Linked DNA regions of Arabidopsis thaliana. The protein of the gene in region 1 interacts with the protein of each later gene in a pairwise test. Each region holds a gene or a part of one and is shown on either strand. Other genes may lie near its edges.

Region 1 (5,453 bases):
CAGTTCCATCAGATATTTTATTAGATTTATGGAAACCTAATTGATCACGGTCTAATCCTTTTGAAAACCAGAACTATTCATGATAGTTAGATCTTTCCATAAAACAGGCTTCGATTGTCAAAACTTACCGTTTACATGACAACTTTTCTTTGATTTGGTTTTTCTTTTCTATATTTTCAGAGTATTGAACTCTGGACAGAGTTAACCAAAGACATATTTGACGACCAGCCTAACCAAGACTTGACCGGACAGCCAGATAATGGTGGATCTGGTGATGAACATTCCTCTCAATATCCTGTCTCTGAGGTCAAAGAAAGACCGATTCAACACTGGTATATGTGCCTTTCTGACGTAAAAGAAAAACCGCTTCAACACTGGTCTATGTGCATTGCTGAGGTCAAAGAAAAACCGAGCCAACACTGGGCTATGCGTGGTATGTGTTTTATATATAGTATATATTACATTATAGTTATTGTAAATACCATTAAATTAAAGTAGCTAGAACATCAGCACTTTTTTGGTTTCTTGACTGACAAGTATCATATTGATTTTCTTGGCAGCTTCAAAATTCCCAGAGAGTTTCACTCAAGCACAAGGTGGTGATGATTGTTATGAAAATTATGGTGATGGTGCTGATGGTATTGATGATGATGATTATGATGAAGAGAATAGTGTAAGTTTGAAGCACTTTTCCCATTTTCATATCAAAGCTCATTAACTAGAATAAGTAAATCACCATGGATTTTGTATAACGGAATTTTGGTAAATTTAATTAGTTGCTACTTTGTTTATTGTCTCTGACTGAATCTTTCTGATATAGGAATCGAGTTTGAAGTGGAACTGTGACTATCAGCTGTTAAAGAGTGGCTACTTGTCTTTCGATGAAGAAGAAGAAGAGGATAATGACGATGAAGAAGATGTTGACATTTTCTCCGAAGATAGTGATGATTCATGGAATGAGGATTTTGATGATGAAGATGAAGAAGCGGATACTACAGTTTTTAAATATTCCGAAAACATGTCGGAGCTTGATTTGGGATCAGCGACGAATTATACCCCTAGTTCCTACGATCATCGTAATGAAAAAGATAGTGTAAGTTTTTGTGTAGCAGTTTTTTTCACATTTTTATACCTATGCTCATACAAAAACTAGGAAAATGATCATCTATGAAATGTTGTTATTTTAATCAGTTGCTGATTTGGTTATTGTATTTGTGATTAGGGTTCAAGTTTGACGTGGAAAGGTGGTTATCAGCAGTTATATAATGTTGACACGTCTTCCGACGAAGAAGATGAAGAATCATGCGATGAGGAGGATGATGAAGCTGGGGAATATCACTCTGAAGAAGCGATGGAGATGTCGCGCGAGCAGAGAATGAGCGAGCTAAGGAAAGTGCTTCATGACGATGAAGATGACGTATCACAAGGATTTGTGAATGTGAGGCGAGAGACAATTGCGAAGAATACGGAATTTGGTGAGGTCGAGACCCTTTTACCAGATGGTGATTGGGTTTATGTGAAGAGTGCTTAGGGCTCTGATCTTTTGGCAAAAAATGTGTGTGATTTGATCGAGTTTATACTTTACATCGGCTTTAATGATATTTATTTGTGTAGTTTTTTGAGTGTTTCATTCGTTTTTCACAAGGCTTATGTCACTCTATTAACTTGGGGTTTAATACCAAATAGTGTACTTTTTCTTATCATTATTGTTTGTCTTCTTTGCCATTCGATCATGTGATCTTTTAGATTATCTTAAGGTACCTTTCCAGTGGAATCATCGACATTTGGTCTATACATGTATTTTGAGCTCAAACACTAATGCAAAACCACAATCCCACCAAAATCGATTTAACACTAGTTTTGGTTTATTGGACCAAACCAAGTAGAAAACCAACAAAACCACCAGTACCGTGATTATTTTCTTTTCTAACGCGTAATAAATATCTTTTATGGCTTTATTATGCACTCTCATTGCGAAAAAAGAAAAATCCAAAGGCTTGGAAAATCGACAAAAACGAAAAGGGTAGTGGTGAGATGTTTCATCATTCTCTGTTTCAGTTCGGTAATGGCGGAGATTTGCTATTTTGGGGGTCTAGTCCATTATAAATCACCATCTCTTCCTTTGTCTCTTCATTCTCTCTTCCGCAGCAAGAAGCCACATTACTACAATTCCACTTCTCTCATGGCTGAATGTCTCTCCTCCTCCACCGTGGAGCCTCCTTCTCTCCTCGTCTTCTCAGGTTCCACTTTCTTCCTCTTCCTTGTTTCGTGGGTCTCCCTAAAGTTACGATTTTTATGTCGATAAGATCGTCTATTTGTGTTAGATCTTGACCAATTACTTAGAATTTGACATTTGTTAATTCTGTTTGTTGCAAAGTGCAAAGCTTTATCATTGTCTTACATTGGTTTAGGTAGTTTTCTTTTGCTCTGAATTTTGGAAAACGTTATATTTGTTGCTATGAAGGTGGTACTGGATTTAATGGTGTGGTTGAAGAGTTGAAGAAGTTAACAACACGAGTCGCTCATGTTCTTCCTGTCTCTGATGATGGTGGAAGTACTGCTGAGATTGTTCGTGTTCTCGGTAAGTTTTAGAACTCACTAACATTGCTACAAGACCCAGATTATATATGTTTTAGCTTCTTTAAGTTTTTACCAGAAGTAATCTAAGCTCAATATCTCCGTTGCTATAGGAGGGCCAGCGGTTGGTGATATACGTTCGAGGTGTTTAAGGCTGTCTGATGAGAGTACTTCAGAGGCACTTGCTGTTAGGCGGTTGCTTGGCCATCGCTTACCTATTGATGCACATCAGGCCAAGAAAGATTGGTAATTTATCCAATGACTATGTTTTCTTTATGCACATAGTGTGGTCTACTCTATAAGCTACACATTTAAGGTTCTGTGGTGGACAATATTGTGTAATATACCATTGGCTGAGTTGGAACTTTGACAGGTACGATATTGTAGAAGGTAATCATTCTCTGTGGGATGGTGTATCAAGACCCTACAGTGAAACAATTCGCGCTTTCTTGATATACTTTCAGAATGAGGTAATGTTAACTGATACAGAGAAACATGTTTTTATTGGTTTCATATTTGATCAGTTCCAAGTTCCAACTTCTTGATTGTTTAAATTTTTCTTTACCTTAATATTCTGTCATTTCTTACTTGACATGTTTCTTATGATACAGATTCATAGGCGACCTAATGAGAGATTTTGCTTCAGTAATGGAAGGTATTGAAGATCTTTTTCTCGGCTTCAACTGTGTATTATTTTGTTCGCCTGTTTAGTAACTCACTTATGATTGTTTCCTTCTTGTAGCATTGGGAACTTCTTCTTTGCAGGAGCAAGGATATTTTTCCAGTCTTTAGATGCTGCAATTTTTCTGTTTTCACGTGTTTCAGAGATTCCTTGTGACAGTTTGGTCCTCCCAGTGATATCAACCAATGATAGGCTAACACTAGGATGTGAATTACAGGTATGAAGCTTGATCTCTATTTGAATTCCCGCAGCTAGCTTATGGAATCCCATTCTTGTCCACAAATATCGCAGCTAAAGCATCATTATTTGCGGGAAGAAGTATCGCTTTCTATACATAAATCTTGGCTGTCGCTTCACTGGCCATCTTCTTGGTTTAAACAATTAATGGCAAGATTGAGGTGGCAAATTTGTTCGCAAACTAACAAGTTATGACTTTAATTTGTAGGATGGGACTATAATACGCGGACAGAACGAAATTTCTCACCCGACCACTGGGACTACGCAGACAGTTGACAAGGTGTTCTATTTGAATATCTTACATTGGTGTTTTTTGATGATCACGAGAACTAAGTTTACTATATACTTGTATCAATTAAAAATGTCAATTTTGCCATATGTAGAATTTATTTTCTTACATTGTCTTTCTATGTTTCTAGTAGAGACATTGTTCTACTTCCGCTCTCCCATCGAAGATAAAGAGAGTGTTTTACATGTCAAGTGAAGGCAATAATCTGCTTCATGAGGTTAACTACTCTGCTTTTATATATACAGAATGTCCTAGATATCTTCAATGTTATCTCTAATGATTCTGATTCCCTTTAAGAAACTCTATCGTTTTAGTTCTCTACTTCATTTCTTTGTTTTGCACGGTGTATTTGACATTGCAAATGTTTGGTGTTATGTCCATTAAACAGGTCTTCCCACCAGTTAACCCAACTGTCCTAGAGCAGTTGAGAAGCGTGGACTGTATCGTTTACGCAATGGGATCCCTGTTCACTTCCATTTGCCCATCACTGGTTAGCACCCGCAATAAATATGTTGTGCAAAAATGGTGGATTACTAAATTTGTGATAACTGTTATAGACAAGTCTTTCTGTTCATCAGGTTTTGCTTGGTGTTGGGGAGATTATCTCTTCCAGGTCATGTCGTAAGGTATGCTGAAGCTTGTCAAAAATACTAATGATGGTAAAAATCAATCTGATTTCTTCTCTCTGTCACAGGTACTTCTTTTGAACGGTAGCCAAGACCGAGAAACAAGCAGGTTCACCGCTTCCTGCTTTGTGACTGCTATCGCTGACGCTCTCAACAGAACTCATGGAGATACTAATATTCGGCTCAAGAATCCCGTGAGTGGTTCTTCACAATCCACACTCTTTCGATGTCTTCTTTATCAGACATATATCGATATCCAAGAACATCATTTTTGTGTGCAGCCTGGATATTACATCAACACTCTCTTGGTCCCGAAAGATGGAGAAATAGCAGTAGATCTCAAACAATTGTCTGAACAAGGGATATATGATGTTGTCAGTATCTCTTTCCTTCACTTGTTTCCAAGTTTATGTGCACAACAAACACTCACTGTTACCTCCACTCTATTGCAGAGAGTCGTGGAGAGTGTTGGTGACCCGAAGCACGGTATCTTGTTCAACCCGAGCTCACTGATAAACACACTGGCCGGTTTGGTGGAGTAAATAGTGATTCTTTAGGCCAGAGCTAGTTTCTTCTTCTACGCAATTGGGACCATGATTTTTTTGTTACTGTTTAGTTTGATCCTTTAGTGAATTGATATGAAAGGTTATGAATGGTCAATGATCATATTCTTAGCTAAGGAAAGACAAACGCCTCTCTTTCTCTCGGAGTTGTATCATATGTTTTTTCTTACACGTTTTACATATAACTACTGTACAGATGAATACAGTTCACTTTCCAATGAAACCAAATGATGACATTTCTACATAACTATGTGTGCTTTTCATTCCCAAACAAGCAAAGGCATCTTTGTTTCTCACTGTGTATTAACATGTGTGCTTTTACTAAAAAGATGTATTAAAGCAAAGCAAATGATGCCAGCAACAAACAGAGCGTGCCCTGAGATTGGTAGGGCCCTAAGCCCATACAACTTTGTTGGCCCTTTCAGTTAAGTTTAGAAAAGAATCACTTGTTCAATAACCAATGTTAATTGTTGAAAGAT
Region 2 (3,719 bases), on another chromosome or scaffold:
CTTTTTTTTGTCCTTAATTTTTCTTAATTTCTGAAGAAACCGGTGACTTAATTAGTTTCTCCCTTCTTACAATCATGGATCCTCTTTTTTTCTCTTAACTATGACATAAATCTTAAAAGACTATTGAGAACTGAGAAGTCACTCTCATATGTACAGTTCCCTTTATCAGTCAGATTTATTATAGCCTCAATTTTCTGAGCTACCAGAGAAGTGAGTAAAAGTCAACGATACAAGGTTTGGATTTTGACTTTTAAGCTTTATTATCCCTCCTAATCAAGACAAAAGATGTGAACCAGATTTACTTTACCGACGTGTTGTTGTACTTTCAACTGAAAATCTAAACTACAGTTCTGAAAAAGAGATACGTAAATGTACACGTGTCTATCCACGTGTCAACTCCTACTAAAAACCCTAAACCCTTCCCTCTCTTTATATTAGCCGTCCTAAACTCTTTATCAGTCCCAGTACACTGCGATCAAAAATGGCTTCAGCTTCATCATCGGCGGCGAGATCACTCATCCGCGACGGAAAATCGTTGACGAATCTATTCCTCCGTGGACGTAAGATCAATCTCACCGAGACAGTACAGAACAATGGACCGGCCATTCGATCTCTGCTTTGTTTTAACCAGATGCCGGCGGCTAGCCAATACCCTGTTTACTCTGAAACTTTTCCGGTTATGAAATCCGGTTTACGTGTCGGCTTCGTTCAGAAGGAGGCCGTTTCGGAGAGAGTAGGGAAAATGGAGGCGGCTCATGGAAAGCGAGTGGTGGACAACAAAGATGCTGATTCAGAGGAGGACACGGATTTTGATGAAGACGAGATTGATGACGTTGACTTTGAAGACGATGAAGATTCTGACGAAGATGATGAGGAAGAGGAGGATGACAAGTACACAAGGAAGAAGAAGTAACTCTTCATTCTTCACAAAATGCTTTCTGTTTTTTGTTTGCTTGAGATTAATGGCTTTAGACATAAACCTTCTTTGATGAAATGGTTCTAAAATGACAATTTCTTCTTCTTTGTCCAGTATATTTTTCTTCACATCCCATTTTAACTATTAAATCTGTGGTTTTGGTTATCAATGATATATGTGACATTCGGGGGAAAGAACAAAAAAATTCTCAAACTGACGAAAATGTTGCAACTATCTCAGTAAACTATTAAAATGGTATCGATTAGACGATGGTGATTAGATTATTATAACATCCCAAATCGAGTTTTGTCTTCTTTTTTTTTTCTCTCAAAACAAGCTCAATACTATTTGGAATCGAGTTTTGAACAAGTTTTCTCTAATTTATGTGATCATAACGCTTAGTAATAGAATCCATATGTATTTATGCAAATCTGTTTTAAGAAAAAAAATTACTCTCCAAAGAAAAGTTAAACTATATATAATATAGACACCCTTTCATAAAGTGATATAAGAGTCCAATCCTCAACCTTAACTAATGAAAAAAGAACATGTCCGTCTTCGTAAATAGAATCGACCTTATAGCAGTGCTGCCTAACCGAATTGGTGCGGTGCTGCCTAACCGAAATCAGATGTGCTGCCTAACCGAAATCAAATTTGATAGTCGGTCTACTAAAACAATTGACGGTTTACAGGAGTCCTCTAAACGTTGTCGTTATCTCAAAGGAAAGAATGACGTGGCGAGGATAAAATCGCATTCGCCTCTGTGTGTGTTCTCAAGTCATTCAAATTGTCACCCGTATCTGCCAAAAACCCTCTAACCACTCAAAAAAATATCTCTGCTCTGCTCCAATGGCGTCGTTACTCGATTCCGTCACCGTGACCCGCGTGTTTTCTCTGCCGATTGCGGCTTCGGTCTCGTCTTCTTCAGCTGCTCCGTCGGTTTCACGACGCCGGATTTCTCCCGCCAGGTTTCTGGAATTCAGAGGTTTGAAGTCTTCGCGGAGTTTGGTGACTCAGTCGGCCAGTCTGGGTGCGAATCGTAGAACCAGAATCGCTCGCGGTGGACGAATCGCCTGTGAGGCTCAGGACACCACTGCCGCCGCCGTCGAAGGTAACTTCAGTTTTCTTATAGTACAACTCGTAGATCTGAACCTTAAATCAGTGAGGATTCAACTTCATCATCTATATAATTACTTGGATTGTTAGTCTTTAGTATTATCTGATTTAGTTCTCTAAAACTAGGATTCATAGGGAGTGGATTCTGATAAAACATTGTAGTCAACGTTATTGAATACTCAACTTCTTCATCTATCAAGTTGTTGTATGATCAAACCAGGATTGATTATACAAATTGATAGCAAAGATACTCTGTGATAAGATTTTAGCATATGGTTTAAATAACTCAAGAAAGAACCAGAGTCTTGTTGGCATTGAGCATTGATGTGCTCTGTATACTATTTCACAGAACGGTTCTCTCTGATAGTTGCATAATTTCAATCACCATTGAGATATATCTAACTAGTTTGTTTGATGTTGCAGTACCAAATCTGTCTGATTCAGAATGGCAAACAAAGGTTCTGGAATCAGATGTCCCAGTTCTGGTCGAGTTCTGGGCACCATGGTGTGGACCTTGCCGTATGATTCACCCCATAGTTGACCAGCTAGCCAAAGATTTCGCAGGGAAGTTCAAATTCTACAAAATCAACACTGACGAGAGCCCAAATACAGCAAACCGTTACGGGATACGAAGCGTTCCAACAGTAATCATCTTCAAAGGCGGTGAGAAGAAAGATAGCATCATTGGAGCTGTGCCTAGAGAGACGTTGGAGAAAACTATAGAAAGATTCTTGGTCGAGTAACAAAATTTGACTCTTTTGTCACTCTGAACCATTTTACCTTATCTTCTCTCTTGTAATCTCTGTAAAGTCTTTTAAGTTTTTGACTATTATGTTATCGTGGGTCCTCTTTGTCTTCTTCAATAAAAAAAATGGAAACAAAGTAATCCACCGACGCATGAGAAGCATAACTCCACGTTGAACCACATGCCATTGTTCTTCCTAATTCACCGTACAATCTATATACATACATATGTTTTGAGTAATGTAGGCTTCCGTACTGTTTCATTCTGTGTACTGCATAGGACATATATTAATACCACGAGGGGGTCTATGTAATCTTATATTATATCATGTATGTTTTCGATTTCTAATCCAATTATGTGAGTATATACTATGTGGCATGTCCAAGCCATGTCTTTACTAAACGATCAGGAGAAAACGCGTTTCGTTTTTAAATCAGTTTAGTTGGATTCCCATATTTAATCTCGGATTACACAGGTCATTTCGCGACTAAAACTTAGGAAACTTAGATCTCAAATTCCCAACCTTTGATAGCACCGAATAATTAAGATACGAAATCCTGAACTAAATATACAGCTAGATATCGAAAACGTTTGTCAACTCTGCCATTCTCTTCCATCATTTTCCTCTCGGAACCAAATGTTAGTTACAGTCAGATTACAAGGCAGTTCAATCTCTAACCAGAGCTAAAAATATCATTATCTTGTAGTATTTCAAATACTAGTATTTTGTTATGGGTAATTCTCCTCAGAAACTAAAATGTTGTTACTTAATATGCTTCTATATGGACATATCAAAAATATTTTTCATTAACTACTTCACCAAAAAATAGCTATATGACATTAAAGTGTTTTAGTATTTCAACTAGGAAATTATGTTCCCCTGTGTTTAGACCTATATTCAATTATTATAGAATTTTCAAGAGCAATAAAAAAAGAAAGATC
Region 3 (3,449 bases), on another chromosome or scaffold:
ACCCAAACCGATACCAAAAATTTTGTTTATAACTCAATCGTTTTTGTGCCACGTGAGCGGAAGGATAATACGTCCAATGGGCTAAAAATAAGAGTGGCCCAATAAACAAGGATGTTTGAGAGTTTTGTGTATTTCAGACAATTAAATACTAGGGTTTATGTGTCTTCAATAACAATCTATCGATAGTCTGAAAGAAAAGAGTTTATGAAAGTTGACCTAACATCTGCGCCAAATAGATCAATCCTTGTTCGAAATTTGAAACAGCGACGATGATGATGTCCGATCTTCCACATGATTTGGTGGAGGAGATTCTCTCTAGGCTTCCGTTGATATCTTTAAAAGCAATGCGATCTACTTGCAAAACCTGGAACGTTCTATCCAAACATCGGAGCTTTGCAAATAAGCACATCGGCAATGTAACCGCATCAGGGAAAAGAGATTTGATAATGATTAAAGATTGTAAGGTTTATTCAATTGGCGTCAATCTCCATGGTATTCAGAACAACAACAACATTATTGATCTATCTATAAAGAATAAAGGTATTCTTCACCTAGAAAATTTAGATCTAATATTCAAGGAAATATTCAATGTCTTTCACTGCAACGGTTTATTGTTGTTATACGGAAGCATCACTGATGATAGTATTAGGCTTGTGGTTTGTAACCCGTATTGGGGGAAACGTGAATGGGTCAAACGCATAAATAATTTTGCAAGTTTTGACAAACTTGCTTTCGGATACGACAAATCTTGTGGTTGCCACAAAATCTTAAGGGTTTTCGATAGTTACCCTAATAGACTTGAAATCTACAATTTGAGGTCTAATTCACGGATGGTTTCTAGTTTCCCTCTTAAATGGGATATAGCGTTTATGCAAGATGGCGTGTCTTTGAAGGGAAATACTTACTGGTATGCTAAAGATAGAAGATCAGAAGATTGTTATTTAATATGCTTTGATTTTACTAGAGAGAGATTCGGACCGCGTCTGCCTCTACCTCAACCCTTCATCGATGAATTTTTGGGGAGTCTATATGTGGTAAGAGAAGAGAAGCTTGCGGTGTTAGTAAAGCGGTGGCGGGGTGGCAAATCTGAGATCGATATTTGGGTTACGAACAAGATTGAGCCCGATGAAGTCTCGTGGAGCAAGTTCTTAAAAGTTGATAACACACCAAGATTTTTTCTGACTGAGGGATACTTGATTTATGATGAAGAGAAAGTCGTAGTGTTTTTTAATAAAGAGGAGACAGAGGGGCTCAAATCCACTGTCCACATAGCTTACATCGTTGGAGAGAATGGTTATTTCAGAAGAGCGGATCTCCGTGAACCTCTATATCAACCACTTTGCCGTCTTGTGTGCTCTTATGTACCAAGTTCTGTGAAGTAGTCTCAAAACAGTGGGTCTCGGTGACTCTCTATGCACACCAGGTCCTATGTGTTCTTATGCTCCAAGTTTTATTCAAATCAAGTTAACCAGACCTATGAATTAGTCTTCTTGCTTTCATCTTATTTTAATATTAATTTGTTTCTCATCTCTTTATGCAATTATATAATGAAGATTTATAAGTTATCAAATTACAAAACAGAGAGACAACAAGTGACGAGCAAGGTACTTTTGTTTAAGCAATTCCTTTGTTTTGTTTACTTTATTTTCGGTTTGGTTATATAAACCGACCCAAACCGAAATCAAATTTTCGTTTATGTAACTCGATCGGTTTTGTCTCATTTCTTATTTGAAGTTTTGAACAACCTTATCCTCTTTCTCTTCTCTTCCTCATCATCAGAGATCAGCCATGGCTTCTTCGACTCTCTTCAAACTCAATTCACAGACATTCAAAGCTCTAAACCCATCTCCTCCTTCGTTATCTCCTCCCAATTCCAGAATTTTCCATCTTCATTTCTCCAAATCACTCTCACAACAGCATTCAAAGCTCAACCACAAATCAACCACTACTCGTTTATTCGCTCCTCTCTGTTCCTCTCTTCCTTCACCTTCTTCTTCTTCTCCTCCCCTTTCCAAAGAAGAAGCCATTAATCAAGCCAAAACTTGTCTCCTTTCATGTCTCATCAAACCCTTAAACAACCCAAAACTCGCTTCCCCAAAACTCAGGAAGCTCAAACAACCAAGATTCCGTCTTGAAATCCCAATCCTTGACGATGATTCTCCTTCGTCACTCTCTCAGCTCGCTTTCTCGATCTTTCATGACTTACCCATCTCGAGAAGAGGCTCTAATGTCAAGCTTCTCTTCCTCTGGCCTAACCCTTCATTCATCGATCCCGCCGTTAAAGCTTTCCGGTCAGACTCTATCCACCACATTGCCATGTCTCCGGTCTCAGACTCTCTTAAAACAGCTCTGAGATCTGCTGACGTGGCGATCTTCATGGCTCCGGAGAAATCGCAGCTGGAGGATGTTAAGACCGCGAGTGAAGCTTTTTCTACAAAACCTGTAGTAATGATCAATCCGAGATGGTTGTTTGAAGAAGAGAAAAGCTTTGGAGATGGCTTTATTGGTTCCTTTGAAGTGATTTATGCGTTCACTGGCTTAGAAGTGAGAGGAGTGTTTAGTAAGAGAAAAGGAGTGATCTTTAAGTGTGTAAGAGACGGTGTTGTGAGTGGAGAAAGATGGAATGTTCTCGTTGAAGAAGAAGAAGGTAATGGTACTTTGAAAGTTGTTTCACAATTCAATTCTCGACCATCAATCGAAGAAGTTGAGCTTGTTCTGTATAACTTGATGGCTATGAATTCTCCTATTACCAAATCAGCTAAGTTTCTTAGTGATTTGGTTTCAAATATCACTGGGAAGAAGTAGTTTGTTAGGACTTCAATGTGTATTGATTGTGGATTCAATTCAAAATAATAAGATTTTAATACTTGTTTTTGAAGCAAAAGAGAGACTACACAACACCATTAATGAAAACTAATTCAGATCTAATCTAATGAAAGACTAAGCTACACATTAATTAGCTAAACAACCACAACACAAATCCCTAATCTAATCTTCATCAGCGGAAGGTTTTGAAGCACCAGCTTTCTTGGGAAGAAGAAGACTGTGAATGTTAGGCATCACACCTCCATTAGCAATCGTCACATCTCCAAGCAGTTTACTCAGCTCCTCATCGTTTCTCACCGCGAGCTGAATGTGACGTGGCACAATCCTAGTCTTCTTGTTATCCCTAGCTGCGTTTCCAGCCAATTCCAATACCTACAACACAACAGATCCAATTTAGAAATTAGGGTTTTACGAAATTGAAGATCGAAAGAGTAAAGAGATATAGGGAGAGAAGGGGATAATTACCTCAGCGGCGAGGTATTCGAGAACGGCGGCTAAGTAAACCGGAGCTCCGGCACCAACACGTGTTGCGTACTTGCCGTTCTTTAGAAAACGAGCGATACGACCAACGGGGAATTGGAGACCGGCTTTGCTGCTTCTCGATGTTGATTTCTTAGCAACGC

What was found.
Region 2: the proteins of MEE18 (region 1) and TRX-M4 interact in a two-hybrid assay, tested with the Arabidopsis thaliana proteins (one large-scale study listed by BioGRID).
Region 3: the proteins of MEE18 (region 1) and AT3G20680 interact in a two-hybrid assay, tested with the Arabidopsis thaliana proteins (one large-scale study listed by BioGRID).

What each region holds. Positions count from the first base shown.
Region 1 is NC_003071.7:14,395,783-14,401,235, reverse strand, and holds MEE18 (maternal effect embryo arrest 18), read left to right. Parts: upstream 1-1,960; coding exon 1,961-2,240; intron 2,241-2,464; coding exon 2,465-2,581; intron 2,582-2,690; coding exon 2,691-2,823; intron 2,824-2,935; coding exon of another isoform or gene 2,936-2,950; coding exon 2,951-3,047; intron 3,048-3,188; coding exon 3,189-3,232; intron 3,233-3,319; coding exon 3,320-3,476; intron 3,477-3,704; coding exon 3,705-3,776; intron 3,777-3,918; coding exon 3,919-4,002; intron 4,003-4,173; coding exon 4,174-4,275; intron 4,276-4,363; coding exon 4,364-4,411; intron 4,412-4,479; coding exon 4,480-4,605; coding exon of another isoform or gene 4,606-4,692; coding exon 4,693-4,953; downstream 4,954-5,453. Other genes in the region: AT2G34100 (nonsense-mediated mRNA decay-like protein), read left to right, coding at 181-433, 561-673, 821-1,093, 1,223-1,531.
Region 2 is NC_003074.8:5,186,683-5,190,401, forward strand, and holds TRX-M4 (thioredoxin M-type 4), read left to right. Parts: upstream 1-1,558; 5' UTR 1,559-1,765; coding exon 1,766-2,027; intron 2,028-2,455; coding exon 2,456-2,775; 3' UTR 2,776-3,154; downstream 3,155-3,719. Other genes in the region: AT3G15357 (phosphopantothenoylcysteine decarboxylase subunit), read left to right, coding at 482-913.
Region 3 is NC_003074.8:7,229,503-7,232,951, reverse strand, and holds AT3G20680 (plant/protein (DUF1995)), read left to right. Parts: upstream 1-1,757; 5' UTR 1,758-1,788; coding exon 1,789-2,805; 3' UTR 2,806-2,884; downstream 2,885-3,449. Other genes in the region: AT3G20690 (F-box and associated interaction domains-containing protein), read left to right, coding at 270-1,382; HTA13 (histone H2A 13), read right to left, coding at 2,989-3,198, 3,292-3,449.